Pelodiscus sinensis: one gene and its partners. The protein of the gene in region 1 purifies or fractionates together with the protein of each later gene. This does not show direct contact. Links are inferred from orthologs where the notes say so. Each region holds a gene or a part of one and is shown in the gene's direction. Other genes may lie near its edges. The genes, in order: KPNA1, MTA2, USP1 and ALKBH5.

Region 1 (7,809 bases):
ATCATTCATGACTTTGCCATAGTTACAGGTGGAAAAAATGTTTAAGTGTAGTGAGGGTAGAATACATGTGTTAAGTTTATGTAAATATGTATATAGATAAATGTTTGATGACTTCATAATTTTTTGCAACATACTTAGGCCCTTCCTTCCCATTAGCCTTAAGTCCCTCAAAACATTAATCCGCCCTGCCAGAGTTAAATGAGCTATTCAGAGCTCTAGCTGAAGCCAAAGCCAAGACATTCCCTTTAGGGTTGCCAGATGGCTTAACCAAAAATACTGAAACATCCCCTACCCAAAAAAAAACCTGGGGAAAAAATTCTGTTGAGGAAAATAAAGGGAGAGACCAAAGTTGTTGAGAAAAAAAAAAAAAGGACCCCGAGAGTTGTTAATTTAAAAAAAAAAAAAAAAGCATGGCCCCTTTAAGAAACGCATTTAAGGCTTTTTGGCTCTAGCAGGCTGCCAACAGCCATCTACCATCTTGTCTTCCTTCTCCGGGCCAGACTGCTCCCCTGCGGAACCAGGTAAGCACTCGGTATTTTTGCCTCCTGGCCAGGAAAAAAATCAGAAAATACCGGACATTTTAGGCGTCCGGTATTTTCCGAAATTTTTTTAATGGACAGAAGGTGAAAATACCGGACTGTCTGGGGCAATACCGGACACCTGGCAATCCTAATTCCCTTGTCTGTTTCACCAGTGGAACTCAATCCTGTAAGTATACTCAGAGTCAGCTTACAGGATTGGGGCTCTGCATAAAATATGGGTGAGGACAAGAAATCTGGGTATGTATTGCTTCAATAGGACTCACATATGCATTACTGAAATTCCAAATTCAGATCCCTGATCTGGAGCAGGGACTTTAATCCAGGCAATGTTCTCCCTAATCTTTTCCATTGATGTGCAGATTTTGTTCCATCCAGGTGCAAAATACATGTTTATGTGCACCAAGGCATGTTCATGTGCACTGATCCCAGGGAATGCTCTGAACACCAGTGTTGCTCTAGTGCAGGTGTGATGCACCCTAAGGGTACTCAGAATTGTGAAGCACCTCACTATCACCTGTCATTTGTGTGAGAAAGTTTTGACTGAGCCTGCCAGGAATCAGCTCCCCAAATCCTGTTATGGACAACACATATACTCTCTTCTAGGCCTCACAGGCCCCACTGTCCCTTTACAGGTTAGTGATAGGTACACTCCAATCTTCAAATCCTCTAAGCATCCCCTTGGATTGGAGAGTCCAGCTCTAGAGCCGCTGGACACTGATGACATTCAGATTCACTGTTTCCAAAGGAACAGAACTCCTCAATTTACCACTTTCACATCAGATCAATGCTCTGCTTAGCATATAGTGCTCAGATATATGTAGAATGAAAACAAGAAGCTTATTTAACAAAGGATTCAAATTGTAGCAAGTGAAAGTACTGGAAACAAATGAGTAAATTAAATCATAATGCACATTCTAGAACTTAGAAATCGATTACAAAGACACCCTCACGTAATAAATACAGCTCACCTTATGACTTTGCAGCGTGTCGCGAGAATCACAGGTCCGATAATGAATACCCAAGGGGGGAAGGACAGAGCCTGTGGCCACGCGGCGCATAGGGTTGCTGGCCCCAGGCACGTGGCTCATGGGGGTGTGGCATATGCACGGCCCCGCCCCCGGGTGTGCAAGTGTCCCTGCCCTCTGGCACCTGGCAGGCGAATGGCCACGCCCCCTGGCACCCGGCAGCTTCAAATGGTTGGGGACCACTGCCATAGGGGTTTCTTGATCAAGAAATTTATGTTGACTGTCTACACTGCCCTCTTGTGGAAGAGCTCTTGCACAAGAGGGCTTATTCCTCTTGGGGAGAGGAATAACTCTTCTAGAAGAAGTCCTGTTTTCTGACACTGTACTGTAAATTTACAGTGTAGACAGCAGGCAAGTTTTTGTGCAAGAAGGGCTGTTCTTGTGCAAGAAGCTGCCAGTGTAGACATAGCCTGTGTGTCTCCTGTTGCCCTTTGCCAGTTGGCACCAAAGGATTCCTGGGTCATAATAGAATAGTGATAGAAATGTAGCCGTGTTAGTCTGGTGTAGCTGAAACAAAAAATAGGACTATGTAGCACTTTAAAGACTAACAAGGTGGTTTATTAGGTGATGAGCTTTCGTGGGCCAGACCCACTTCCTCAGATCAAATAGTGGAAGAAAAACTGGCCAGTGGTTAGTTAATATAAAAAGAAAAACATATTTTGTACCATCCTCGCAACTTTAAACAAAATTCCTTGTATTCTTGAATGCTGCTTGCTAAAATTAATAAGAGCTGAGTATATGCTGCCCTAGCAACCTGGGATATTATTTACTTTCTGCAGGGTCTCATCCTGAGCAGCAGCTCTGGCAATCACAGTCTACATTTTGTCTGAGACGGGGCAGTTTTTTAAAGAAATAGGGTTGAGTAGTTCAAAAATCTAGCTTTGTATTTTGCACCCCTTTTAGTCAAATGCTTTAGTTAATTTCTGCAGGCACCAAATCTCTCCCAGCTTTGTATATAATTTGTAAATTATACATGTGTAGTTGCAAAAAGAATCTGTGTACTCTTGGAGGCTGGGGTGTTTGCCAGGCTTCTTTTGGCAATGGCAGTAAGTGATTATGACTGAATGCACTCTTGTTGACACACTCAGCATCCTACTGCAACAACTGTTATGAAAGATATGCCTTGTGAAGTATCATTTGAAAATTAATAACTTGCTGGTCAATATTATGGTGAAATGTATGTAGCAACATTATATGTAGCATTATGAATTTCCCCTGTATGATATTACCACAAAAGTTGTTTAACCGGTCTAAACTAATCAAAAGAATGTGTTTACCTCAATTTGTATATATGTAGTAAATACGGTTATTGAGACTGCTTGAAGGGGAAATAGCAGCAGACAAGGCAAATCTATATTTCATTATATAAAGAGAAGAAACAGCATGAAACTTCCTTCATGGAATCCCCAGACTCCAGGTTTCGTTCTTTACCTTTTGCATAAACTTTGCTTTCAGGGTTAATTCTCAGAAGAATCCCATTTCAAAGGGCAACTGGACTATAAAAGTGAGAGGCAAAAAGTCCCCCAGTACATTTGTCCCTCTCTTTTGCTTTAGAAGACAAAAGAACCATACCTGGGACTTAATGGAGATGCACGTGTGAGAGGAAGGATCCAGACTAGAGAATTTGATCACACATATTACTGGCAACACGTGATAAGGATCTTACCTTGAACTAAGTCTAGTTTAAGTTTTAGTTACTAGAAAGCATTTCATCTTTATTTCTCTTGTAAACGTTTCTGTCTTTAATGTCACATACTTGTACTCACCTTGTACTTGTAGTTACATAAAATCTATTTTAATCTAAACAAATCCAGTGCTATGTCAAACTAAACAGTGTGGTAACTCCACTTAAAGTAGCAGATTTGAATACTAAGAACAGACCTCTACTCTCTGGACTGTCTGGAGAAGGTTGGACACTGCATAGCATACATTTTTGGGAAAATCCAAGGCAAGGAGTGTGTTGGGGTTACACTGCAAGTAATAACCAAGGATAGTGGAAGCCAGAGTGCAAGAGGGTTGGGGGCAGGCAGCAGATACAGAGACATGCTTGCAGGCTGTTCACGAGTGATCCAGGTTGTGAGCTACAACAGCAAAGCCCTAGGAGGCACCTTAGGTTGCAGGACAGGCAACGACACAATCACTCACTGCCCTGGATTGCATTCTGGAATATGATAGCAGTTAATGGTCAATTTCAGACAACACAGGCCTCCTATAAATAAACGGTTCAGCCTATTCACTGCACTACAGCCTCAGCCTCTTCCTCCAGCTGTGTGCGCTGCGGGTCGGGTGTGGTTATTGTCACAACACCGCAGGGCTGGCGCCTCTTTCCCAACCCGCTGCAGCTAGTTCCCAAGCTCTCCCGGCTGCGGGGCCAGGAAACGCGCGTAGGCTCCAGTTCTCCTTGCGCGGGGGAGGGGTGCAGGTTCTGGCACCAGGCGCAGGCTTCCTAGGAGCAGCTCGGCGCCGCCTCCCCCCCCCTGTGATTCTGGGATAGCAGGCGGCGCGCGCCACCAGCGGCGAGACGAGGCGCGGCACAATGACGCAGCCCAGTCCTCGCGCGCTGCGCTCGCGCCCGGCCGGCCCCCGCCCCCGGCCACAGCGCCTTCCACTGCGGTTCATCCACTAGCCGCTAGCGCGTGGCCGCACAGAGGCGACGCGTTGCATTCTGGGAAGCTAGTCCTCTCGGCCCGGACCTTGCCTGTCGCGTGGAACGATCGGAGAGTATCCGAGCCCCACGCTTGGCGGCTTGCGGGGACTCTATCTCCCAGGGGCCTGTGCGGCGGGGCCGGAAACGACGCGTCGAGAGGACACACACACACACACACACACACACACGCGCGCAGCCGCAGTGAGCGCTGCAGCGGCCAGATCTGGGCAGGCGGGCGAGAGGGGAGGGGCGCCCGCGCGCCTCGGGCCCGAGAGGAGAAGCCGCAGGCCGGGCCTAAGGTACCAGAGCGGAGGGACCGGGCGCCGCAGCTGCCACTGCCCGGCAGGGCTGTAGTGGCCCGGAAGAGCCGAGCGACGGGCGTGTGGGGGTCTCGGGGCTGGTGCGGCAGCCGCTGGGGAGCGGGGCCTGGGCCGGGCGCTGCTGGAGCAGTTCGAGAGCCGTTGCACGCGCTGTCACCCTGCCCGTGGCGGGACCGTTGCCGGCGGCGCGCGCGTGAGTAGGGGCAGTGCCCTGCTGAGCGGGCCCTGGGGCGGGTGCTCGTGCCGCTGTCAGGTACCGCGTGCAGCAGTCGCGGTTCGGCCTCGCGTGCCCAGTGCCGTGTGTGGGTGGAGCCGTGATAAACGAGACCTGGCATTGTTGGGGGGAGGGGGGAGGACAGTCGTTGGGGTTTCAGCAGTATCCTGTGGTAAAGTTTGTGTTTAGCTCCCGCACGGCATTGGCTTGGCAGACTGTTAAGGATGTAACATTTCCAGATTTACACTTCTGTTTCAAGAGAAGCAGTTTTCCTAAATGTGAAGAAGTTTCCTTTAGCTTCTTTTGAGTTACAGGCTGTTAGCTTGGGCACTGAAGGATAGGTCTCAATTCCCTGCTGCCATTTAATGCCAAAAACTCTAGGTTTTTTACTTTCAAATAGTTTAACTTTGAAAAGATGAATTATTTTGGTGAAAGTGAAGGAAATCTGCTTTTACAGAATGAAGTGGTGCAGCTTTTTAAAAAAATGCAATATGTGTATAACGTTTTTTGTCCATATATTTGTTGACATGTTCAAACTCTTTCTGGATTGTTAAGGAAAAATAGCCACCATATGTGGCTCACGTTAAGATGGTTTTGAGAATCACACACCTCTCACCTTGATAATTCACCCTTCAGAGTTAGGTTTGCATGTTGGTTTCAGAACTCACCATAGAGAGAAACAAGGTTGCATTGAGGATTTTAAGCACAACAGTGAGAGTGCATTAAATGAATAGAAAGATAAAAATATGACACAGAACATAAATATTTGGAGCAATATTCTTCAGCCTTCACAGCTGATAGTTTCTTTGCTCAGACTTCAGTTTCCTGGCAACTTTCATAGTGAACATCACTTCTTTTGCTTTTGTCGTTGTTAATCATGCAAAACACTTTAGGAAGTTAGTCTTAGCTGGAGCCATAATACAGTAGAAGTAGTCTTGAGTTGAGATTCCCAAAACCCACAGTCCCACAATTGAGAGAGAAGGTTGTTTTGGTTAAAAAAAACAATAGAATGGAAGTGAAGGCTATGATACAAAAATTATATATAACAAATGGAAGGTATGAGAAGCTGAGAGGAATTGTAGAAAATGCCAAGGAATGCAAGGAGAATCCTTTGGCCTGCAGAGTTAAGTAAGTACTTAAAATATATGAGGAACAAAAATAATCATGACAATGGTGTTGGTCCATTACTAGATGGAAGAGGTAGAATAGTAATGTGGAAAAAGTATAAGTGCTCAATAAATATTTCTGTTCTATCTTCTGTTTTACCCCAAATGTAGTTGGACTGTGATAACATTTTTTTCCCTTCCATTGGTATCTCTGGAGAAGGGATGTGAATGGTTAATCAGTTAACTGATAAGGTTTAATGTGTGAGTTTTATCAGTTTTGGTTTACTAGTGGGGGCTTCTGTGGGCTGGAGCACTCCAGACCGACCAGAGCAATGCCTATCTGTGGTGGGCCCAGCACATGCGCATTGTACACAAGGGCTTTCTGGCTGGCTGTGGCAGCCTCTGTGGGGAGCGGATGGAGGAGAGAAAGGAGGGGGTGCTCCAGTACCCCTGCCAGTCTAACCACCCCCCCTTCATCAGGTAAACATTATTAAACATTACATTTAATCAGTTAACTGGTTAACCAGTTAAACAGGATTTTACATCCCTACTCTGGAGGATGTTAAATTAGATATTTATAAATCGAAGGCTTCAGATAAAATTTTAAAAGAACTGGCTGAGGAGCTTGCTGAAGTGTTGATGGTAATTTTTTTCACAGTAACTTAACAGTGGCAATACTGGATTAAAACAGTGGCCCATATAGCCAAGTATCCTGTCTTTTGACAGTGAATGATACCAGATGATTCAGAGGGAAAGAACAGAAAAGAGTAATTATTGTCTGATCCATCCTTGTTGTCTAGTCCCAGCTTCTGGCAGTCAGAGGTTGAGGGACATACAGGGCATAGGGTTGAGTCCCTGACATTCTGGGCTAATAGCCATTGACTGACATATTCTACAGGAATTTATCTGATTGTTTTTTCAACCCAGTATAGTTTTGACCTTCACAACATCACCTGGCAATGAGATGCACAGATTGACTGTGTTGAAGTAATATCCCTTATGTTTTTTTTAAACCTGTTGTCTAATAATTTCATTATCTGACTTCTGGTTTTTGTTGTTTGAAGGGATAAAAACTTTCCTACTCATTTCTCCAATACCATTCTTTGGTTTCGTGAATGACCAGACAGTGATGTGGCAGTTATGTATTGTTTTTAACCAGGTACCCCCTGCATTACATGTGCAGGTCTGTTAACCCTCCCCTCACTCACACCCACATGCAGTTGACACAAGCAATAAAGCTCCTGTTCAAAAATCATTAGTTTCTATTTATGAAACCCAGGCAAAAGAGAAAGAAAAGGAGGTCAGTGTGTGAGTCTTGCAGGGAGGAGGTGGAGGGCACAATGGCAAGTGGTTTATTACAATCCCCCTGTGTAGCAACCTGTTTGTCTTCTTATATTTAGTTGTGCCCCGTTGATGTGGGTGAATAGCATTTGCTCATGAAACATGTTATCCTATGTCATGTTTTTTAGCTGTCTGATCTATGATAGCTGAAGTGCTGCAGGACTTAGGGGAAGTGGGTAACAGACTCACTGTTGCAGCTGCATCGAGGGAAAAAATGAAGGACAGGCTTTAGAGACAATACCTTGTAGAATGCAGAAGCTAGTCTTTTACCTTGAATGAAGCTCTGGGGTATACAAAGGCATGTGTTTTGTACAAGGCCAAAGAGATGTTTTTAAGTGCCTACTAGGCAGGTACAAGACACACAAGCCCTGCACGTTGCAGTTATATCTGTTTGGCCACAGACTTGGTAATCAGCAATTTGGGATTCTTGGTATTTGGCTTTGAAAACATGTGACAAAGTGGCTGCAAAGTGCAGCTCTCTTGGCCAGGCATTAGGGATGTTAAATTTCAATTTATCAGCTAATTGAGTAGTCAATGGAATTTTCATCGACTACTCGATTAGTCAGTAAGGGGGGTGCTCGCTATCCCACTGCACCTCTGCCTTTGAAATGTAC
Region 2 (8,525 bases), on another chromosome or scaffold:
AGGGCCCAGCAATGACTCCTCCCCCCCACACACATTGCAGAGACATACCAGATCGGGCGTCAGACCCGGGCACACGAAGGCAGCATCTTCTCACTCTTCCTGCGGCACGATGGCTCAGTGCTTAGTGGTGGGGGGAAGGACCGGCGCCTCGTGCACTGGAGCCCCAGCCTTGCACTGCTTCAGGAGGTGGAAGTAAGGGGAGCCCTCAATCTGCATGGGGTCAATTGGCTCCAATCCAAAGTGTGGGGCAGGGTAGAATCTGCATGCGACGGGTGAGATTGAGCAAAGGGGATTCACGGGATTGTGGGAGGTAGGGGTGGGGCCAGAATGTGCCAGTGTTGGAGGGGGTTGGGCAGAGAGATCTGTTGGGCAGGGGATCGCTTGGGCTTGGACATGGGGATTTGCCTGTGGGATCCGCTGGCGAGGGGTGGGAGGAAGGTGTTTAGATGTTATGAGAGATCTGCAGTGGGTGAGGGTGGGGCATCCGTGGGGGTGGGCGGGGAGTGTTTGGGTGTTGATGGGGGGCTGTAGTGGATGGGGTGGGAATCTTCAGAGGTGTGTGAAGAAGATTTGGAGGGGTGAGGGGTCTATAGTGGGTGGGAGTGGACAGGGAGTTTTGGAGTGGTTGGTGAGGGAGCAGCAGTGGCTGTGGAGGAGGATCTGCAGGGGTGGGCAGAGGGTATTTGAGGGGATCTCTGAGGTGAGGATGGGGGAATTACAGGGGCAGGCAGAGGGTGTTTGGAGGTGCTATGGGGTGTATGGGGGCCTGGTTGGGGGACTATAGAAATCAGGGTGGGAGTTCACAGACAGCAGGGGTGTATTGGAGGCATGGCAGGAGGCCCTGGAAGGGTATGTGCAGGAGGGGAAGGGGTCTATAGGAGCCATGTGGGGAGGATCTGTGACTCCAGATGAATCAGCCCCTTGTGCCCCCAGATCCCGGAGCAGTTTGGGGCTGTGCGCACCATCGCTGAGGGCCCCGGGGACGAGCTGCTGGTTGGGACTACGCGCAACGCGCTGCTCAGGGGCAGCCTGGGCACTGGCTTCACCCCCATTGTCCAGGTGCGTGGGGAGCTAGATTCTGGGCAGCTACAGAAACTGCACGGCCATGGGATGGCTTGGGAAAGAGGGGCCTTGGGAATAGTATGGGGGTGCAGCAGAGTGGTGGGCTGGGGAAAGCAGAAGGGGTCTGATGGGATGGGGAGCAGCATGCAGTGGGGTGAGCTAGGCCCCTGTCTGCCTCTATCAGGTTCTTCCTGGTTGCAGGGTCATACGGACGAGCTGTGGGGCTTGGCCACCCACCCCTCACGGAGCCTTTTCCTCACCTGCGGGCATGACAGGCAGGTCTGCATGTGGGACAGCGGGGAGCATACAGCGGCCTGGAGCCTCACCCTGGAGGTATGGCCCAGAGGGGATGGGGGAGCTCGTGGAGGTACCGCCCGGAGGGGAAAGGGGAACCCATGGCAGCCTGGAGCCATACCCTAGACATACCACCTGGGGTGGATGGGGGGGCTTACGGTGGCCTTGAGTGTCACCTGGAGGTACTGCCTGGGGTGGGGGAGGGATGCAAGGCCTGGAGCCTCACCTGGAGGTACCACCTGAGGGGATGGAGCGTGGGGGAAGAGGGTCAATGACCTTACAGTGTATCTCTCCCCCTCTAGGAGACTGGGCTCTGTGCTGATTTCCACCCCAGTGGCAGGGTGGTGGCCGTGGGACTCAACACTGGACGGTAACTCCCCACCACCCCCCATTACTCCCTTTCTGGCCCCTTAGGGGTGCTTGGCAGCCCTTCCCACCCCATTGGAATCACACCCAGCGAACGGCGGATGCTGGTGGCCCTGCAAGCAACACCGTGAGATTCGGGCTGTGGCCCCCATTTCCTGAGTCTGGCCCTCCAGGGATTAAGGGGTCACTGAGTTTGCCCCCAAGGCCGGACCTCCTCTCTGTTGCCCCTGTTCCCTGGGGTGGGGTCGGTCCTCTGCGTGCCTCTGCATGTTTGGCACCTTGGGAGCTCTGACCCTGCCCTGTGCCTCCAGGTGGATGGTGCTGGACACAGAGACACGGCAGGTGCTGTCATGGGGCTCGGATGGGAACGAGCAGCTCTCGGTGGTGCGGTATTCGCCAGGTCAGACCCTCATGCCTCCCTGCCCCGCTCCCCTCCCCAGCAGGCCCATTCTGACTAGATTCCTCCCCCACTGCAGCGCTGGCTCCCTCCAGCCCCCATTTTCCTCATGTTGCTGAGACAGCAAGTTCCTCCCATTCTCCCCCATTCCTGCACCCCCTCCACTGCCCCCCCTTTTGCACACAGATGGCCCCATCCCACCCCTCTTTCCCCCCCCTGCAGATGGTGAGTTCCTGGCCATTGGCTCCCATGACAACTTCATCTACATCTACAGCGTGGGGGAGGGGGAGCGCAAGTACAGCCGCTTCGGTCGCTGCACGGTGAGGCGCTGCTGGCTGTAGGGGGGGCAAGAAGAGAGGGTTGTCAGAAGGAGGCTGGGAGTGATAGGGGCTACTGGGGCAAGGGTAAGGGAGGGAAGAGAAGAGAAGAGAGTTTCAGGGGGGCTGAGAATGGGGGAAGTACTGGGAGCCGGGGGTGTGTGATTCCAAGCCCTTGGGTTGTGCATCCTTGGGAGGCACCTCAGGCTGGGGAGGGGATTCTTGAGTACCTGGCTTTAAAGTCCCATTTTCTTCCCTCTTGCTCCAGGGACACTCCAGCTTCATCACCCACCTGGACTGGTCCAAGGACAGCAAGTTCATCATGTCCAACTCAGGAGACTACGAGATCCTCTACTGTGAGTGCAGGGAAGGCATGTACTCAGGAGCCCCTCACCCTGGTGCCGGGGTGTACGTCCTCCTCATTGTGCCTGGGCCCATCCATAAGCATCTGTCATGGGGGAGATAATTCTGGTGCCCTGAGACAAGGCTGTGCGTGGTCCCCTGGTGCCTAGGCTAGGAGTTGCACCTTCATGTGGCAGTGCCGGTCACTGCAGCTGACCCTAACCCTGCATGTCTCTGCCTCCTTTGCAGGGGATGTGGCTGGCGGCTGCAAGCTGCTGAGGAATCGCTTTGAGAGCCGTGACCGGGAGTGGGCGTCATACACCTGTGTGCTGGGCTTTCATGTTTTTGGTGAGGGTTGGGAACCATAGGGTGTGTAGGGAGAGGATGAGTGTCGGGAACGGGAAAGGAGAAAAGTGTAGCCGGGAGGGAAGGAACCCAGGGGTTCCAAGAGCCACAGTCAGGAAGAGGCACTAACAGCTAGTGCATATCCTGTATCTGCTCCGCAGGTGTGTGGCCGGACGGCTCAGATGGCACAGACATCAACTCCCTGTGCCGCTCCCACAATGAGCGTGTTGTCGCTGTGGCAGACGACTTCTGCAAGGTGCATCTGTTCCAGTACCCCTGCGCCAGGGCCAAGGTGAGACTGGCAGGGATAGGGGAGTTTAAGCCCTGAACCCATGCCAAAATGAGAGGAGGCACACAAGGGGAAGGATTAACTAGGGATTTTGTTTGCTCTTCTGCTCATTCACTGGGTATTGCCCTGAGAGTTTGGGGACCAGAGATGCCCAGAGGGTCTTTGACATGGGGACATCCCAGGGGATCAGGAAGTCTCTATGGGATCTTGGGCAGGGGAATCTCTGTCTGAGTTTGGGGCAGAATAGGGGGGTCTCATCTGGGTATCACGGTGGTTCTGGGAGGTCCTGGGTGTAGTGGCAGAGCCCAAGGGCCTGGACCAGAGGTTAGGGAACAGCCTGGAGGTGATGGGATTTCATCAGTAGCCCCTACCCCTGACCCCACTCCTTGTTTTCTCTTGCAGGCGCCCAGCCACATGTATGGGGGCCATGGGAGCCATGTGACTAACGTGCGCTTTACCAATGATGACAGCTATCTGATCTCACTGGGGGGCAAGGACACCAGCATCTTCCAGTGGCGAGTGCTGGGGGGCAGCCTCACCCATAGCTGCTCGCTCTCTTCTGCTTCCCTATCTTCCCAGGAGGCAGGAGGCTGTGTCTGAGCCGGAGATGCTACAGGGACCAAGCCTCATTGCCTGTAGGCCTGGACAGCCCTGGCACATGAATCTCAGTGAGCGAGGCCCAGCCAGAGGGTTCCCTACCCCCTGGCACTAACACATGCTAATAATGCGACCTGATTCATTAACACTGGGGAAAAGGCCTAAATTCTGCTCAGGGCCTGGTACAGGTCAGAGTGGTGAGGCAGGGCCAAGGGCCTGTTGGCAGCTCCCACCACTGGGGCCCAGGGGCTCATCTGGGAGGGTGTTGGGATTGGGACTCTTGCTTTGGAGGCAAGGGATGGGTCTGGCAGGGGAACTCATGGGTCAGGGAACTGCAGGATGTGTTAATGGAGGCAGCATGGCCTTAGGGTTGGGGCTGTCCATACCCACCCTTGTTCCCCATGGTGGAGCAGTAGCCCCATTCCCAGAATGTGTATGTGTGATGGGACCTGTCCACCTGGGGGCACTCTCCTCTCTAGGGGCCTGAGGGCTGCCCCCAAACCTGGGACCAAGCCTGGAGAAGCAGGACACTGCTCTCCCCACTTTGTTTACATTCCCAGCTGCGCCAGAGCAGCAAGACGCTGAACACTGTGAGAGGCAGCAATAAAGCCTTGGCATCAGGGGCTGGGCTCCCGTCTCTTTCCTTCCAGGGGTGGGGAGCAAGCAAATAACAGTGGTAGGGGGCAGCTGGACAGAAGGTTGTATGCAGGGGCCACAGCAGTGGGGTGGGGAGAGGAAGGCATGCAAGGGGCAGCAGGGTGTGGGGCTAGTCTGCATTAGGATGGCACAAAGACCACATTTAACAGCCTCAGAATGGGGGTGAGGGGAAGCAAATGAGGCTTTTGTTCCGAGGGGGAAACGAGAGATTTAGTTCCCTAAATCCAGTGGAATACAGAGAAAACATTTCCACCTCTCTTTTGGGACACTGGGATTAGTGCAGTGGTGCTCCACTCCAGAGTTGGCTGCATCTCACCTCGGTGTAGGACTCCGCTGCAGGTGGTGAATTCTTGGGTAAATGAGTGGCTATTTTGGTCTAAACATGTCTAAAACTGCACCTGTATGTATGGAAATAATTCTAGTGCAGTTGAGGCTGTTGGGAATTGCCCCTTGAACGGGGGGCGGGGCAACCTTGAGCCCTTCGGAGAAGAAAGGGTTAAAAACCCAGGGCTTGAAGCTCCCTCCGAAAAGGCCCGAGCAGGGCAGACCGTGTCCGGAAATAACCGAAAGTTTCAGTTTCCGGATTTACCCGACGTCCTGCTCGGCGCCGGCCATCTGGAGTCACTGTCCGGAAGGACCCGATCGCCGAGAGGCTTTAGTCGACGGTGCCCGAAGCTTCGCCAGGTGCTTTCGGAAGTACCCGAACGGTTCCGGAGAAACTCGATCTCACGCGGAACATCCCGAAGCGCTGCCGGAGTCTCATCGGGTATTTCCGAGTCTTGCCGATCCTTTTCCGGAAACCACCGAAGCGCTACCGGAGTCGCATCGGGATATTTCCGAGTCTTGCCGATCCTTTTCCGGAAACCACCGAAGCGCTGCCGGAGTCGCCCGAAGTCTCCTGGTCCCGGCCTTGCGTGAGGAGGAGGAGGCGGCGGCGCGGGAGGAGATGAAGAGCGGCCGGGAGCGGGGCTAACGTGGGCCCGAGCGGAGCCGGACGCAGACGCCCCCGCCCTTCCCCCCATCGCGCGACGGGGCCATGGCGGCCAATATGTACCGGGTGGGGGGTGAGTCTCGGGCCGGCGCTGCCCCGGGCTGGGACGGAGCTGGGCAAAGGCGGGTGGACCCGGGAGGGGGAGGGGTCAGTGCGGGACCGAGCTGGGGGGCAGCGTGGGGCCGGACCGGACCGAGCCGAACCGGAGGGGAGCAGTGCGGGGCCGGACCGAGCGGGGAGGTGGAGGGGTAGTGCGGGGCCGGCCGGACTGAGCGTGGGGGGGGGGAGAGGAAGCAGAGCGGGGGGAGCAGTGCGGGGCCGGACTGAGTGGGGGGGGGCGGGGGTAGTGCGGAGCCGGCCGGACTGAGCGCGGGGGGAGAGGAAGCAGTGCGGGGCTGCGGGGGGGGGTAGTGCGGGGCCGGCCGGACTGAGCGCGGGGGGAGAGGAAGCAGTGCGGGGCTGCGGGGGGGGGTAGTGCGGGGCCGGCCGGACTGAGCGGGGGGGGAGGAAGCAAAGCGGGGGGAGCAGTGCGGGGCCGGACTGAGTGGGGGGGGGGAAGCAGAGCGGGGCTGGAACGGAGGGGAGTGGGGAGGGTAGTGCGGGACCGGACTGGACTGGACCGAGCGGGGGTGGGGGAGGAGCAGTGCAGGACCGGACCGAGCGGAGGGAGCTGGGCGGTGAGCCGGGGGAGCGCGTTCGTGCTTGGGGAGTCAGCAGGACACGGCGGTGCTGACGCTGGTGTGGGGGCTCCCGGGGCCTGACCGAGCCGGGGGGGTGTCAGTGGCTCGGCCGGAGGTGTGTCTGTGGAGGGCAGTGGGGTCAGACAGGTTGGTGTGTCTCGCGCTCCACCGGATTTTTTTTGGGGGGGAGGGGCTGTCCTGTCCTGCAGGGCTTATGGGCTGTGTGTGTGTGTGGGGGGGGGGTGATACCCCCTTAGTTCCTTAGAGGAAGGTGCCGTCCCTCCCCCCCCACATGCTGCACCCCTGTGTGGATAGTGTAGGGGAGTGGTGAGCAGTGGGTTTGTTATGTGGGGACTGGGAGGATTGTTAGAATGTGGGTGATCTAGGGTAGTGAGATGGCTTCATCTGGTATGGGGAGTCCACGGGCTCTGGAGGCCTGGGGCAGTTGGCATCAGGTTGTGGGGGGGGGGGGTAGGTGGACAATGGCAGTATGGGATAATGGGCTGGTTATGTGAGGGCAGGAGAATGTGGTGTAGGGAGCTGGTTACATGGTACGAAGAAGTTCAGAGGCTCTGGGGAAATGGAGCACTTGAGGGTCTGGCTGGTGGGTTGGGTTTGTTATTTGGGAATGAGGTAAGTTGAGGGGGCAACTGGCAGGTTATGTGGTGGAGGAAGTCCTTTGGGGAAAGCATGTTTGGTTACATAGGGAGGGGTAAGGGAATTCATCAGGTGCAAGGCCCACAGGGGACAAGGGTCGGCTGGCTCGATGGAGTATAAGATTTGGAGGGCTGTGGTTATGGCTGCTGGGGTGGGGAGCAATTAGAGAATGAGGGTCAGTGAGGTGTTTATTTGTTGTCTGCAGTTTGCTTGTAGGGTGTAAGTGGGGCAGTTGACCAAGTGGGTTATCAGGTGTTTGGGGGCAGTCTGGTTGTGGGTAGGCTATTGCACAGGCTGTGGATGAGGCAGTTTGGGGGCATGAGTTGGGGAGATTGGAGGGCAGGTTGAGGTGTCTGTAGTTCTGGGACAGTTGTGGGGTTTAAAGGCTGTGGGAAAGAGAGGCCTGGCTGGGGATGTGCCTGGTCTTGGGGAGGGTGGGTTATGTGTGGGGCAGTTTGAGAGTCTGTGGGGAATGGTGTGTGTGGAACAGTTGGGGAGTGTGCTGGGAGGTGGAGGTAGTTGTGGGACATCTCGTTTTACTGCAATTGGTGGTGGTGGCTTGTGTGGAGTTTGCTTGAGGAGGCCGGGGTGGTGTGTCTGATTTAGGGTGCTTGAGGGGGAGGGATTTCTACCATGACCCTTCCCTGGCTCAAACTGGGCATTTGACCATGTGCTGAGAAGCCCATGAGCATTTGGTGCTGCACTTTGGGTGTGGCACTTCAGGGGAAGGGAGCAAGAAGGTTGGCCCCTTTCAGTGGGGTGGGGTTTTTCTCAGGGTCTCTATTTTATAATGTCCTCCCCACTTCCCACTCTGGGGTGTGTCCCATGAGGGGGTATGATCTTGCACTGAGATCACCATACGTTTGGGTTACGTTGGAAGGTGGGAGGCTGTCTGCCTGTCCTGGCAATGCCATGCCCACGCCAGTACCTGGCTGTTATGCTGCCTGGGCATGTGGCTCAGCTATCCCTCAAGCCTGGTAAATGCTGCCCATGCTTAGCTATTGATGTTCCAGGCTGGAACCTGTTACCAGGCATTGGCAGTACTGCTGTTAAACCGGACCCTGTCCGAGCAGATGGTTGGCAGGTGGTGATGGAAAGGCTCTGGGTTCTAATGGTGTAGGGTTTGGGCTTGGGCTTGGCCCCGGCCCTGGGGAGCTGCAGCCTCGCAATGTTGCCCAAGAATGCAAATGGCTGTGGACAAGAGGAGTGCATTGGTGACAGGGAGGTGGCTGGGGAGACAAATCCCCTGCTATTCAGGGCCTAGACTAGGGTGGGGGCAGGAAACCCCATGGCAGGTGAGTATGAAACAGCTGAGACAGTCTAGGTGAGGCAGCCCTCTGAGGGAGGAGCTTAATGGCGCTTTCGGTGAAGGTGGCCCTGGGGCTCATGTAACGTTTATGAGGGTTCAGCCTGTCCTTCCTGAGTACCTGCCTGTTTCCCCCCATTTCCCCATGACGGCTTCAGTCTCCGTTCTCTTGGCAGATTACGTCTATTTTGAGAATTCCTCCAGTAACCCTTACCTCGTCCGGCG
Region 3 (7,674 bases), on another chromosome or scaffold:
AGGTGAAAACAAGCAGAGGATTTATTGGTTCACACAGCTGGTGGAGTACTCATCAGGGTTTAACCCGGTGAGCACCAACTTAATCAAAACATACATTAGATTATATAGGTCGCAGATGGATGGAGGAGAAGTGATTTAATAGGTCTAGCAGCGGAAGTGAAATATGCACATAAGCCAATGGTCTACAACAGTTACACAGTATTTCTGCCCATTGCCAATTAAACATGTTATCACTAATACAGGTAGTTATTCCTAACAAGCTAAATAAGCCAACATAAACAAAGGCATGTTGATGGTCATTTTGTTGGCTGGAAATATAATGCGTCTCCTATGGGGGTGGTATTGCCTTGGGATCTTTGGGATCCAAGCTTATTTTCTAGGAACAAAGCAGACAATAAAAAACAATCCCGCGCAGTTGTTTGGTACATGCCTTATCAAAGTGAGGCCCTTTTGGAATGTGGTTGCCAGGGGAACCAGGGTCACAGTAACTGCTGTACTGTATGCTTCTCAGGCTTCGCCTGATACTTTCAGATTTTAGTTTGTCAGTTCTCAGCAAGATACCATGGGCTGCCTCAATTTACCCTACAACTGCCATGATTCCAGATAAGTAAAATGGTTTCAATGCAATTATTTTAATATGGTTAGTAAATTGGGTTGAGTTCTGACACTCATACCAGCCAGGGATAATGCATGGGTTAATCAAAGATGATCAAATCCCATTGAGCTACATGCAGCCATTACTCTGCTGGTCATCCTACTTGCATGGCATAGTATACAAATAGCATGTGACAGGAGACATGCCTGGATTTACATTAGATGTAATTTACACCTTAAGTAATTTGTGATGACTGTTTAATTTTGTAATTAAAATTAATTATATTCTCTTAAATTGAGATACCTACCCTACACTGAAAAGTGCCAAATGCACTATTTATACTTTAGGTATCAAGTATCAAAATGCAGAAAGGAATTATACTTAGGGATGTTAAAATGTATTTGTTTTGGTAAACGTGTGACCGCTGTTTGGTGTAGCAGCAATAAATAGTGTAAATAATTCAATATTTCCCCCATTCAAGAACTGACCAAACCTAGGTGTAATTAATTTGAGGTTAGCGTCATAATGAACTATTTATATGGGGTGGAGAAAGGAGTATTGTGGTACCTTACAAATTAACAGATTTATTAGGGCATAAGTTTTTGTGGGTAAAACCCACTTCATCAGATGAATAGGAGTAGGGATGTGAAAGACTACTCGTCTATCCAATAAGCAAATGCTTATTGGATAATTGAGTTGACTAGTTGCTTCCCCCCCTTGCTACCTCTATCAGAAAGAGGCATTCAGGGGAAGTGAGAGGAGGGGGTACTTCAAAGTAGCAGCGCTGCTGGGGCCAGAACCTGGGATCCACGCAGTGCTGCCACTTTGAAACACTGCATGCAGCTGCAGTGTCCCCAGGCTGCACACGGTGTTTCAATGTGGCAGCGCTGCGTGGAGCCCAGGATCAGCTAGGGACTCCCTGCTGACCCTGGGCTCCATGTGGAGCTCCCGCTTTGAAATGTCGCAAAGAACCTGACGCTGGGCTCCACACAGCATTTCAAAGTGGCAGCGCCGCACAGAGCTTGGGGTCAGCGGGGGAGTCCCCAGCTGATTCTGGGCTCCTTGCGGTGCTGCCGCTTTGAAATGACGTGGGGTTCCCTGCAGTCTTACACCCTAGGGCTGTTGCTACATTTCAAAGGCAGAGGCACCCTATCAACTAATTGGAATTTAACATCCCTAAATTGGAGTGAAAGTTACAGAAGCAGGGATATAAGGAAGAAGTTGCTTGTGTTAATAAAGCTAATCAACTGAGGATGGAAGTGGGTCATTCACAACTTTTTGTATGGAGATGTAAATATCCAGGGAGGGAAAATTGCCATTGTAATACGTTAACCAGTTGAGATCCTATTCAATCCTAAATTAATAGTGCTGAATTTACAAATGAATTCCAGTTCAACTCTCTCCCTTTGTAACAGGTTTTTTTAAATTCTATTGTAGAAGGAGGGCTACTTTCAAATCCATTACTGAATGTCCAGGGAGGGTAACGCGTTCCTCTGAAGGTTTATGTGTGTTCCATTCCTGATGTCTGATTTGTGTAAGAGACTGTCCATTGGTCCAATATCCATGACAGAAGGACAATGGTGGCACTTGATGGCATATATTGCATTAATAGATGCAGCACTTGGAGTGCCATTCATGTATCAAGACTCTCTGTAGGAATTGTGAAGAGCTTCCCCCCCCACACACACAAAAAGGTGAATTTTTTAAAACTTTTTTGTTCATCTTGCTAATATAATCCATCCTATTTAGATGAAGATAATAGCTTTTAAATCTAATACTTGTGTATTTTAACTACTCAGATAAAAGAAACAAAAGATAATTAAAATTTTGGCAGTTAGTGTCAAAGGATGAAGTACTTATGGGTGTTTTTTTCCTTTACACAAAACAGTAATAGGACCTGATATTTGATGTACATTTTCTTTTTACTGTTTTGTCTATATTAAATTTGATGTAACTTCTAGAATTACATAACATGAAAAATATTAAACAAACTTGATCCTGGATTAAGATAATTCAAAACTAGCCCTTTAACATTTTCTAACTATAAGACCTTGAATATAACTATTTTCTACTTGATTTTTAAGTTGTTTCTTTTTTCCTGAAAAAGTGACATGCAAAAGAAAAATGGGATTGTGTCTTTTTTTTTTTTTTGCTTTGATATGACAAAGTTTTGATTTTTTTTTCCTGCTTATTTTTTTCTTGAGCCTTAAAGGGATGCCAATTCTTACTTCCTTTTTGGTAGTGGACTTCTTGGATGACTCAGATGTGCATTAGAAACTTCCTCAGATAATAACTGAATAGACTGGAGTATTAAATCGAGTTTCCCAAGTGTTTTAAATAGGTATAGACAAAACAAACCCAACATTTTAAGAAGTCTGGATAACTGTCTTGTCAACTAATAAGGTTTAATTTCCTTTGGTCATGTCTACAAGGGAGTTAAAACCAAGTCAAACTCTATAATGCAACACTTTGCTGTGTAATAATGCCTTGTGTGGACACTTGTACATTCAGCAAAGGTCCTGGAGTATAGAATTGCACTTATTCTTGCAGAGTATTGTGCTAACCCACATTCCAGGACTTTCTCCATACTACATTTTGTAATGGTGTCCACATGGGACTTTGTTGTGCTGCAAAGTGATGTAGATTCCCACCTTGTCTTGCCCTGCTTTAACTCACATATGCAATACCTTGCTATCTCTCTGATAATCACACTAGTTTCTTCATTGTCCCGGGTCTGTCACGAAAGCTAGATTTCTAAAAGTAAAAACAAACAAAACTATTTTCAAAGAAAATCTCCACCACATTTTCAGGTCTGTTGCTGTTGACATAAGGAAGACGGAGGGGGGGAGGTACAAACCTGGAGGTACAAACATTTGCACGTCACTTTAAAAGAAAAAACAACAACTACTATTTGAATGTTGCTTTGGAAGAAGTGGGGTAATGCACGAGCCAGGGTCTGGATGAAATGCGGGGGGAAATATGAGGACTGCTTTCCACGTGCTGATTTGAGCCACGTTGTGGGCACCACCTAGCGGACGCCAGGAGGATTTTTCCTTCGCACACTCGTTCTGCCTTTTTCCCCCTCTACCACACGGCGCTTCCCGCCCAAAGGCACCCGCCTGCTCGAGTCACCTTGACTGGAGGGGGCCGCCTGCGCGCGTGCTGCTCTCCGTAAAGCCCAGCGCTGGGAGGCGAGTGCTGACGCAGGAGTCCCAGCTTCCCCTCCCCGCCCAGCTGGCTCTGGGGATAAAGCCTGAGCGCAGGGCCCAGCCCGCTACGGTACCCAACGTGCGCGCTGAGGCGGGGGCCGGCCTCGTGATTTTTTTTTTGGGGGGGGGCAAGGAAGTGCGGTGGAGCTGCGCCAGAGTCGCTTAGTTCAAGCCGCTGCTTTGCAACGGTCGCCCGCCAACGAGCGGCCTGGCTGGCGGCAGTGCTCAGACTGGGGGGAACTGCCCACTGGACTAACGGGGTCTCCGCCTGCCCCCTGTACGCCAATCCTCGCTGCCTTCCTGAGAGCCGTTAACCCCCCCCCCCGACCATTTGAACCGCATCGTAGGACGCCGCAGCTCGCGCAAGACGCTGATTGGATGATCTGCTCGCGCCCTTATTGGTGTTGGGGGGGGGGGTTACACCGCGTGTCAGGACCTAGTCACTTTCCTTGGAAAGGGAGGGGTGCGGGCAGAAGCATAGGATGGTTTAACCCGTCCCATATCCCCCTTCTCAGGCTCGAGCCCTCTGACCAGGCCTCTACCGTTACACGCGCGCGCCCCGCCAGGACCCCGCGGGCTGGCCGTAATAATGCCTGAATCTAGGATTCAGAGAGTTGCCTCGGGGTTCCTAGTGCGCCCCGTAATCTGGCCCAACGCGCCTACCAGGTTTTTTTGTGAGGGGAAGAAGCGATATTGGCCGATGCTGCCCTTTCGGGCCTGAGGGTCTTAGTGGGATTTCTGTGCTGGCGTTTGCTCCTGGAGGCCGCACACGCCCTGGCGCGAGGGGGCGGGTGTCGGGTCCTGACGCTGGGGAAAACCCGCCAACTTTCCCGTTGTGGGGAGCACGGAACTGGGGCGCCCTGTAGTCACCATAGCAACCAGGGAGGGTGGTTCGGGGAGAGCGTGCCCCCTCCCGGCGGCACTCGGAGCCAAGCGAAGATGTAGCGGGTGAGGAGACGCGGCGCTGGCCGGGACCCTTTCCCCCCAGGAGTCAGGGGACTTACCCCATCCCTTGCGGGTCGGGGGTGCGGAGCGGGAAGCTGGGGGAAGGCGCCCCCCTCGCACTGTGGGGCCGGTGGAGTTTTGGGGCTTTCTCTTCCCGCTTCAACATGTGGTTCGGGAGCCGGTAATTGTTTCCCGCTCTAGCGGCTCTTACGGATCCCGGGGGGACGACACACGTACTATGGGGGGAGGCTCGAGAGAATGGCTGGCGTAAAGGGCTTAGTCTGGAAGTCTTACTAACTGGGTGCGCCCTGGGCCCTGTGGGAACCAAGTGGTGCCGGGCAGCGGGCGCCTTCCCGCCTCTGGGCCAAACCCGCAGGCGGGGTTAATGATCGCAGGAGATGCTATGGCTGGGCGGGCTTCCCCGGGACTAAACTTCAGCAGTCCTCGCTCCGGGGTGGGTCCGGCCAGCCCGTTCATTGATTGCTTGGCTTCTCTGCTGGAACTACCAGGGTAGCCTGTGTCTGCTGTGAGGCGGGCACGGGCTGCAGCCCCTTTCGGACAGGTGTCTGGACACAGCCAGGAGAAACTTCCTGGTTTTGGTCACTGCCTGTCCCCCGCTATCTAATGGTGAAGGTGAAACGGCTCTTGCCCACTCCTGTCTGAGCTGCTAGAAAGTACTGTCAGGAAGTTGTGTTGCATGTACGGCTGCATCCCATAGTAAAAGTAAATGTAACATCTATTTGACAGGTGTAACTGCTGATTGCAGCTTTCTGATCTTATTCCCCATCCCCATTATTATTTGTGAGGAGAAAAAAATGCCAGGTGTATTACCGACTGACACGGCTGGGCTTTTGAGAGGTAGCCCGTCAAAGAAAAACAGGCTTTCCCTGAAGCTTTTTCAAAAAAAGGAAACTAAAAGAGCACTGGATTTTACAGATTCACAAGAAAATGAACAAAAGAGTTCAGAGTACAGAGGCTCAGAAATGTATGTAAGAGTTTCAGTTTAAGATTTTTTGATTATAACATAGCATTCTAATGAGTATTTTTATGTTGTACCCAAAATGGACACATGCGATTTAAAATCGTTTTAATAAATGGATGTCTTATCAACTTGACTACTGAAAACTTAACTATTCTGTTTGCTGCACTGCTCCAACAGAGAATAAATTTCACAAATTAAAGACATAATCTTGCCTGTACAGTGTATTAACATCCATCATAAGCGTTAACTCAATCACTTCATTTTCTTAAATTAGGTTTCAAATAACAGTTATTTGAAAAAGCACAGCGGAGTGGGAGGGGACCCAGTGCAAGCTGGGACAGTTGATTCCTGGCTCATGCAGGGTCCTCCCTGCTGATTCAGCCTTTTAAATGTTGAAGTGCAGCGGGTACCTGGCCTGAGCTGAAATCAGCTGTCTTGTGCCAGGTCCCCCCTTCTGCGCACCAGCCTTTTAAAGGTATTAAGATCCAGTAGGCTCTTAATACATGTAAAAGGTAGAGGTGCAGTGTCTGGGACTGGGTATGAGCCAGGAATGAGCTGATTCCAGGCTCACACCTGGTCCCTGCTTCCTCCCCTGCCCTCCACGGAGACAGTGCTGGGAGGAATCGGCTTTTAAGTTGGTTCCCCCCAGCACTGGCTCCTGCTCCTCTCCTTTGGTGCCTCTGATAGGGTACGTCTAGACTGGTGGGTTTTTCTGGGATCCCGGAAAAACTCCACCACGTGCAGGAAATGAATTTGCTCTTTGTTCTTCCGCAAAAAAAGAAAAAGCGAAACACGCTTTTTCAGGGAGACCTGCATACTTTGTTCTATGAGGAATAAGGACTCCGCTGAAAGAGGAGGCTTTTCTGCCATCTGGCCTGTTCTAGATGGCCATTTTCTGTCATTTGGCCCAGAAAAGCAATCAGAAAAAGCGCCGCAAATTGCGAAGCACAATTTGCATAGCTTTTTCTGATAAGAGTATAGTCTAGACCTAGCCATAGAGGCGGTGGGAGGGGGAGAAACGACTAATTGAGGGACTAGTCAACTATCCAATAAGCTTTTGCTTATTGGATACTTGACTTAGTTGGTTACATCCCTACTTACTACAGCAATACAGTGTGTTACTAGTCTAATGTTTCTAAACTAACTTTTGGTTGCTTCTCTATATAATGGACTGGATATTTCCAGTTGGTTGGTGTGCAGAAATTTCTGTAATGATACTCTCTTGGTGATGGGAGGGAGCAGGTTAGAATGAAAAGTATATGCTGGTATTAGTTCTGCAGTAACTATAAGACTATAACTCAAACATTATAGAAAATCATTACGGTTCTTTTTCATATTGCTTTGAAAGACTTCAGAAAAAACTAACTGACCATGTGTAGCACATGGACAGGGCCCAACCAAATTCACGGTTCATTTTTCTCAATTTCAGTTATAGGATTTTAAGTTATATACAATTTTTCATAATTTGTTATTTAAATTGGAAATTTCATGGTATTGTAATAGTAGGAGTTCTGAGGCTGTAGAGAAGGGTGTGTAGGTTTTGTAAAGTTATTTATTTATAGAAGGGTCATGGTACTGCTTGTGAAATCTGGATAGCAGGGGTCTCAAACTCCTGCAGCCAGGGGACTGCAGATGGGTAAGGGACTGTTGCTACCGCCCTGCATCAGGCCCTCTCAGTAATTCCTAATGCTGCATCCCTCAGGACGGGGTGCAAGCAAGAGAGAGGGTGGGGTGATGGCAGGAAGGGACAGAGCTTGGGGGATGGGAAAGGACAGTCCTTCCACCCAGCAGGACTCGTGGGCCAGATTCCTGCTCCAGTTGGGGATGGCCTGTGGACCAGGAGTTTGAGACTTCTGCTGTATCATCTCACACCACCAAATTTCATGGGAGTAACAACATTTTATAGTCTAGGATGAATTTTTCACGGTCATGAATTTGGTAGG
Region 4 (7,607 bases), on another chromosome or scaffold:
TTCTGGTCTATAGTGATAGCAACGTCCTATTTGTGTCAGGTAGTAATAACCTACTTTCCCATCTCTCCGTGCACTGCAATCTTATGAAGCCATTTACCAGTCCAGTGCCCCTCCTAATCCCCACCGCCACCCCTCAAGCCCGAGGGCTTCTAAGAAACATGGTTGCTGCCATGCGAGCTCATCCGGCTGCTTCGTGATTCTGACTGTTTTCAAGTTGCACACACACAGCCTCTGACTGTTAACACCCAGAGGAGACAAGGAGACAGAGCCCAGTATGTCATCTGAGACAGCACTTCCCCCTGTTGGGATGAGTGAGGCTGAAACAGAGCAACAGTCGGAGGTTAAAAATCTTACTTAAAAAACGCCTATAAAGACAGCCCCTCTGAGAAAAAGAAGCCTGAGAAACATCAGCTTTCTTGGCCCAGCATTTCCCTGGAGGGTGAGTTGAAGGAGTTAGGGCCTCTTCAAAGGAAACATGGCTGCAAAGAAGAGACTGTAGCCTTGGAATGAAACCAAGCAGGGCACAGGTTCAGGGGAGGGTCTCCTCTTCTCCTTAGGGATCTAAAGACTTGCACGCTTGGGCTCGCAGCTGACTCATGGTAGCACTCAGAAAACATACTGCTTCCCTATGCTCTCCCAAATTTTAACTGCTAAACGAGGTGCCCCCACGTGCCCCCTTCCCTGCCGCTCTGAGTGGTCCTCCCTGCCTCCCCTTCCCCCACCAGCATCAGTCACCCCTGCTTGGGCTCAGGGCACCTAGAAGATTAGCTACAGCTCTGGGATGAGAGCCACGACTGACAACACCGCTCCTCCCGCACGCTGAACTTTCTACTGTAAGAAGAAAGCTCAGCCAGGACAAGCGACAGAGCTCTCTTGGGAGCTGGTCCACGCCTGTGGAGTGAACTCCCTCCGGAACCAAGGACCCAAACCTGATCACCAGGGGAGTCGAGAGGCTCCGCACGCCCCTGGCGAATGTGTGTGTGGGGGCCCAGCTCCGTGGTCCCAGAAGGGGCAAGGCCGGGGCAGCCAGCTCTCAGCGCTGCCCGAACCACACGTTGCAGAGGCTTGTAAGTCCTGGGGCTCCACCCGCCACTGCTGCTGAACCCCAGGCCCCTTTGCCCCTGTCGGCAGGCCTGCTCACTAGGGATTTAAGCGACTAGTTGACTAGTTCCTTGACTAGTTGTTTCCCTGCAGCCTTGGGGGGCCTCTATCCCAAGCAGCAAGGGGGAGAGAAGCAGCCAGTGCCGGTTCCCCCCAGCATCATCTCCCCAGGGGGCAGGGAGGTAGCAGGGACCAGGCACAAGCCAGGAATCAGCTGATTCCCAGTTCACGCCCAGTCCCAGACGCTGCGCTTCTGCTTTTGAAATGTATTAAGGATCTGTCAGCTCTTAATACATTTAAACGGCTAACGTGCAGCGGAGGGGGAACCCAGCACGAGCTGGGACAGCTGATTCTTGGCTTGTGCCGGGTCCCCCCGCTGCACACCAGCCTTTTAAATGTATTAAGAACCAACAGGCTCCTAATACATTTAAAAGGCAGGGCCGCAGCGGGGTTGAAAATCCATCGACTAATCGATTAGTTGATTAAACTAAACTTAACATCCCTACTGCTCACCACCTTCTGCTGCAATTGCAAGGGGCACTTTTTTGACCTGCCTTCTCTAACATATATACAAAGCAGCAAGGCCATTAAAAAACCAAATGCAGGCCTACCACACCAAAATACACCCTGACATGCACAACTCTGCCCTGGGATGAGGCTGAACAAAGCGCATGTGCCAGATGTCAGTCATGACACTTAATGCTCTACTGGAAGGCGCTCAGATTCCATGGGGATGAAGATAAGAACCTGCACAGAACAGCATAGGAAACGGCCGCAACCAGAGCCCCCGCTGGTGCCAGTTGCCTGAAAGAGGTCCACATGCTGCCCATTGGCTCCCAGTGTAGTCCCAGGCTGAACTATGAAATTCACCAATGTTACCCTCACAGGTTAAATTGGGCAGGGCAGGGAAACAGATTCTCTTCCAAGCTCCACCCACAAACCAAACTCCGCTCAGTTGAAATCCCATTCACAGCACATTGTGCTTGTTTTCATAAAAGGGTCATCCCCCTCCTTTCTTTGATCAGCAGAGAAATCATTAACACTGGTGACATTAAATTACCAGTATTGGATAGTCCAGTTAAATCACCCCATTGGGCTGAATGGGATAGTTCACATCTCTCAGAGCTACTGTTTCTGGCTCTGCAGACTCAGGTACCCATCACCACTTCGGTTATGGTTGGTTCACATTCTGAAGGATTTCTTTTAAATCCTGAAAGCTAGAAATATGCTTCTTTTAAAATGAAAGCTGAGTTGCTGGAGCACAAGATGGTAGCTTGAGGACAGTGGTGGTGGTGCAATGTATATTCACATATCTCCTGAAGAGGGCTCTGTTTATGATTCATTTCTGTGCACTGTAGAAATTGGGCACAGGCCAGGAAACTGCAGTTGTGATCTAAAACAGATTAAGGCAAAGGTTCAGGGCTTGTGTTCAAGGTTGATATTTTTTCTTCAGTGGCCTGGACAGCCTGTAAGATGAACTTGCCACCTGCAGCCTGTTTTTGTGGCTTGTGGTGTTTTTCATTTTCAGTGACTTAGTGAGTTACTATTCTCAGCACATGAATACAGTCAGTGACATTCCGGGTGTTCCCAGGAACCTAAAAGCGCCTGTCCTCTTTGATTCTGCATAGCTAGTTTCTGTTCCTCCCATAGTACACTAGAGATAAAAGGTCACCACTAGCCACTTTCTGTTTGGAATCTAACATTATGATCTACTGGTAATGTGAGCAATTATTTAGAATTCATATTAGCCTTCTAGTCTAATTCCCTAGACTAGTACAGGGTTTTGTACTAAAAGGGCACAAAAGTTTATGTCCTTCAGTCCCAAAGTCTCTGAAAGGATGATCACACTAAAACTGGATGAGGTGGGTTGTAACATTATTGTACTATACACAAATCCCTTGATTCACCAGGGCTTTTTTTAAAAAGCAAGTTCTTTGCTACTCAAAAGGGCTTAATGCTCCTGAGATACCAAAAAAAGGTGTGATGCACAGGGATGCTGGAAGGAGAATGAACATGTGCAGAGACTCCCCTGACCTGGGCCTGCATTGTAAGGGGCAAACCCCTGTCCCATCTCTGTACTTTCAGTCTCCAATGTAAGGGTGGCTGGGTACCCAGAACTCAGGGGTGGGTAACTTTCCCCATGGCTGTGTCTACACTGGCATGAATTTCTGGAAATGCTTAAAACGGAATACTATTCCGTTTTCAGTTTTTCCGGAAAAGGAGCGTCTACATTGGCAGGCTGCTTTTCCAGAAAAACCCTTTTTCCGGCAAAGCGCCCGTGGCCAATGTAGACACGCTTTTCCGGAAAAGAGCCCCAATCACCATTTTCGCCATCGGGGCTTTTTTCCAGAAAAGACTACTGGGCTGTCTACACTGGGCCTTTTCCGGAACAGTGTTCCGGAATAAGGACTTATGACCGAGCGGGAGCAGAATAGTTTTTCCGGAATAGCGGCTGATTTTGTACAGTAGAGCATCGTTGCTTTTCTGGAAATTCAAGGGCCAGTGTAGACAGCTTGCAGCTTATTCTGGAAAAGCGGCTGATTTTCCGGAATAAGTGGCCCAGTGTAAACACAGCCCATGAGTGCACGCCTATGCCCTAGGGGTGGTACGTGCCCCGTGGTCTGTTCCCATCATTCCCACTTTACCCCTGGCAGAACTGCCAGTGCCATGTGGCAGCCATGCAGGGAGCAGCAGATGCTCCAAGGCAGGGGTGTCCTGCCTGATGCCTGACTCTTTTTGCCTATCTCCGCCAGGCTGCTCCCGTGCACCCGCCATCGCCCACACTGCTACGGGGAAACGAGCGCGGGTCTAGGCACGGCTCTCAACTCCAACCCCATCAGGCACCTCTATAGACACCCCAGCCCCCTACTCTCATAAGGGTCCTCCGCCTTTCCGCACAGCTCTACGCAACTTTCTGCATACGCAGAACCCCGTCTCACAGCGACCAATGAGCTAGACTTTTCCCTTTGTGCCCGCCTCCTCAGGGCAGCTCAACCAATCAGCATCGAGCCGGGGGAACAGGTAGGTTAAGTTGAACCGCAACGGGGGGGTGGGGGAGAAGCGCTGTTGTGGGATCGGTGATGCCCTCACCGAACGACACCGCCCTCAGTCACTCGCTCCGCCCCACCCGCCTCCCGGGCCACCCGGACGAAAAAGTCTCGGGGGCTTGGCCAAGCGGCGGCGGCTGTGAAGCGCGGCGGCAGCCAAGAGGCGGCGGGCGCCGCGCGCATGCGCAGAGGGCCGGCTATGGGGGGTCCGCGCCTGCGCAGTGCGCGGCCTGCGCGCTAGGCTGCCCCTGAGCTATTTATAATGTCGGGCTGGCTCCTGGTGACGTAGCGAGGAGTCCGAGCGGCGTCCGCGAGCGCGTCGGAGCAACCCCCCCCCTCCCCCGCCCCACCTCCTGCTGCTGCGATGGGGAGCGAGGCGGCGGCCCGGGGGCTGCCGGGAGCCGGGGCAGCAGCTGGGCACGTGCCAGGCTCCGCCACTGCCTGAAGCGCGAGCCCCATGGGCGGCGGGCGCCCGGCGCAGAGCGTGGGGCCCAGCAGCTGACAGCCCGCGGGCGGCCCGGAGGCCTCGCCCGGCCCTGCGGCAGGAGGCGGCTCCCCCCTGGCCTGGAGGGAGGCCCCTGCAGCCGAGCCCTGCTCCCACGCCGGCCCGGCCGGGGGACCTGCGCGCTCCCGTCCCGGGCCCCCCCTGCAAGCCAGGAAGTGGCGGGGGGACGGAGCTAGCGGGCCCCGGCCCTAGGAGCCACGAGGGGAGGCTTGGCCTTGTGCGGCCTCCCTCCTCCCTCTCCTCTTTCCCTACGCAGCTACCGGAGAAGAGCCTGAGCGAGAGGTGAGCGTCCAGTCCCTCCCTCCTCCCCCACACACGCACGTGTCGGGGGGCACCCGGCGTGGAGCAGCGCACCAGACCTCTCTTCTTCCCCTACCCAAAAGAAAGGGAGGAACTTCCTGTTTTGGAGCAGAGCCTGGCCCTCTCCCCGCCAAGGAGTCGGGGCGCTCTATGGAAGCGTGGAGCTGAGCTACCTGAATCAAAGGTTTCTACCCCCCCACCCCACCCCCACCACCACCAGAGCAGTGAGTTGGGTGGGTGCCCTGTGTGTGGAATTGGAATATAGAATCTGCTCTGTGGATCTCTTTCCTTTTGGAGCTATCCCAGCAGGACAGGGAGGCCATGAATAGCAGCAGCACTTCCCACTCTTTAACCCAAAGAGTCGTGCACCGAGAAGATCAGTAGAGGAGGTGGGTTGCAAACGCACCATGGCGGGGAGTGGCTACACAGACCTGCGAGAGAAGCTGAAGTCCATGATGCCTTATCGGGACAACTACAAAGGCAGCAGCCTGCGGGAACCCACAGAGTCCCCCTATGGGGCAGTTGGGGGTGCTGCTGCCACAGAGCGCAAACGCAAGTACCATGAGGACTCAGATTCTGAGCCCAGTGACTATGAAGAGCAGCAGAAGGAAGAGGAGGAGGCCCGGAAAGTCAAAAGTGGCATCCGGCAGCTTCGTCTCTTCAGCCCAGATGAATGTGCCAAGATCGAAGCTCGGATCGAGGACGTGGTATCTAGAGCTGAGAAAGGCCTCTATAAAGAGCATACGGTGGACAGGGCCCCTCTTCGGAACAAATATTTCTTTGGAGAGGGCTATACGTATGGGTCCCAGCTTCAGAGGCGAGGCCCTGGTCAGGAAAGGTTGTACCCGCAGGGGGAAGTGGATGCCATCCCTGAGTGGGTGCATGACCTGGTGATCCGGAAGCTGGTGGAGCACAGGGTGATTCCTGAGGGCTTTGTGAACAGTGCCGTGATCAACGACTACCAGCCTGGTGGCTGCATCGTCTCCCACGTGGACCCTATCCACATCTTTGAGAGGCCCATCGTCTCTGTGTCTTTCTTCAGCGACTCTGCGCTCTGCTTTGGGTGTAAGTTCCAGTTCAAGCCCATCAGAGTCTCCGAACCCGTCTTGTTCCTGCCAGTGAGGAGAGGAAGTGTCACTGTACTAAGGTAACTAAGTGGAAGGCCTCTGAGTTTCAGCAGCTAAACCTGAGTCTCCTTAGTAGCTTAATAGAGACACAAGTTACACAAACAAACATCAGCAAAAATACATGCCTGATTTTTTTTTATTTTTTTTTAAACCCACCAAAGCTCGTGATTCTATATATTTTTGGTTAGTCTCTAAGGTGCCACAGGACTACTTGTTTTTAAAGTTACAGACTAACCTGGCTACCCCCAAGACTTTTTAACATGCCTGAATTGTTTATATTGCATCATAAACACATGGGCTTTCCACTGAGTGTCAGGATTAAGGAAAGAAATTTGGGACTGAGGCTTCATGATCAGTGAGGGTCAGGTGAGAGCAGTGATTCAGCTCGAGCAGCAGACAGTGACGCAGCTAGGCCTAGGAGGAAGACAAGCCCATTTGCAGGGGCCTCAATAAGAATCTGTCTGCGTGTGGAATGTTAGTGGATTGACGCTGACTGCTATCTAGGGTCAGGATACACAGGGAGACATAAAATGGAGCCCCTGCCCAGCAGTATGTTTGTTATGGAGCAACTGATTTAGGCGTTGGTGACCAAGCTAAGAATAGAACCCAGAAATCCTGACTTCCTGTGTGACTGTAAACAGAGAGGTGAGGTGGCCTCGTTTTTGTTCTCCATCTGTAAAGTGGGGATATGAAATCTTAGCTGACTTTGTGCAGAATACTCTGAGATCTCCTGTGTATGCAAGTGCAAATTGTGTAGTCCCAGTATAAACTGCACAGCAGCCCTGTCTCATAGGTACAGGAAGGTTCTCCCTGTTCCCCCTTTACAGATGGGAAAACAGCCACAGAAGTCAGATGATCTGCCCAAGGTCATGCAGCAAGTCACTAGTAAAGCCAGGATTGGGACTTGGAAGAGCCTACCTACTAATTTCTTTTTCTGTCCTCTGGGTCATGCCTCCTCTCTTAACTACATAAAGAATGTTGAGGTTGGCACAGGGAACAGCCAGTTAAGTTGCATGTGTTTTTGTGGAGCAGGTGGGTTTTTAGGTGCCACAGGAAGGAGGAAGTCCGATGATGGGAGTGCATAATTTTATGATCAACTTTTATAGTACGGCCCTTAAGCTAACGGCAGTCCTGCAGACTTCATTTGACACGGATAGCCAAATATCCCTAACTTTTTCAGCAATGCCAAAGGGAAGTATTTTAGCTATTGTATGAGCTGGTAAACGTGCATGCTGGCAGCAAGGCAGTGTGCGTATAATACCATGTCATGCTTTGGCTTGCAAAATGATTGCTGCAGGGGGTCAGGAAGGAATTTCCCTCTTCGTGTACATATAGCATTGTACGAGTGACCAGGTGTGTTAATAACAGATAGTACTTACACTGCTTTGTATCTCTAAACTGCTGCACAAATATTAGCTCATTCTCCCCAACACCACCTGTGTTACATGACTTTTAGACTGGTGGAGATAGAAAATTGACAGGTAAGTGAGCACTGCTCTCTGAGAGCTAACTAAATCCTACCTGCTC

What was found.
Region 2: the proteins of KPNA1 (region 1) and MTA2 purify together in Homo sapiens (co-immunoprecipitation; 3 studies listed by BioGRID and IntAct, with this or other methods). This does not show direct contact. The link is inferred for Pelodiscus sinensis from reciprocal best matches to the Homo sapiens genes KPNA1 and MTA2.
Region 3: the proteins of KPNA1 (region 1) and USP1 purify together in Homo sapiens (co-immunoprecipitation; 6 studies listed by BioGRID and IntAct, with this or other methods). This does not show direct contact. The link is inferred for Pelodiscus sinensis from reciprocal best matches to the Homo sapiens genes KPNA1 and USP1.
Region 4: the proteins of KPNA1 (region 1) and ALKBH5 purify together in Homo sapiens (co-immunoprecipitation; 3 studies listed by BioGRID and IntAct, with this or other methods). This does not show direct contact. The link is inferred for Pelodiscus sinensis from reciprocal best matches to the Homo sapiens genes KPNA1 and ALKBH5.

Annotation. Positions count from the first base shown.
Region 1 is NC_134711.1:138,989,323-138,997,131, forward strand, and holds the start of KPNA1 (importin subunit alpha-5), read left to right. Parts: upstream 1-4,385; 5' UTR 4,386-4,513; intron 4,514-4,529; exon of another isoform or gene 4,530-4,727; intron 4,728-7,809. UniProt on the Homo sapiens protein: Functions in nuclear protein import as an adapter protein for nuclear receptor KPNB1. Binds specifically and directly to substrates containing either a simple or bipartite NLS motif.
Region 2 is NC_134721.1:36,551,522-36,560,046, reverse strand, and holds the start of MTA2 (metastasis-associated protein MTA2), read left to right. Parts: upstream 1-5,206; 5' UTR 5,207-5,702; coding exon 5,703-5,730; intron 5,731-8,476; coding exon 8,477-8,525. Other genes in the region: EML3 (echinoderm microtubule-associated protein-like 3), read left to right, coding at 41-192, 934-1,059, 1,264-1,395, 1,659-1,726, 2,034-2,122, 2,342-2,439, 2,705-2,792, 3,028-3,126 and 2 more. UniProt on the Homo sapiens protein: May function as a transcriptional coregulator. Acts as a component of the histone deacetylase NuRD complex which participates in the remodeling of chromatin.
Region 3 is NC_134719.1:16,470,108-16,477,781, forward strand, and holds the start of USP1 (ubiquitin carboxyl-terminal hydrolase 1), read left to right. Parts: upstream 1-4,598; 5' UTR 4,599-4,752; intron 4,753-5,496; 5' UTR 5,497-5,564; coding exon 5,565-5,734; intron 5,735-7,674. UniProt on the Homo sapiens protein: Negative regulator of DNA damage repair which specifically deubiquitinates monoubiquitinated FANCD2. Also involved in PCNA-mediated translesion synthesis (TLS) by deubiquitinating monoubiquitinated PCNA.
Region 4 is NC_134726.1:34,043,122-34,050,728, forward strand, and holds the start of ALKBH5 (RNA demethylase ALKBH5), read left to right. Parts: upstream 1-4,132; 5' UTR 4,133-5,137; intron 5,138-5,250; 5' UTR 5,251-5,360; coding exon 5,361-6,100; intron 6,101-7,607.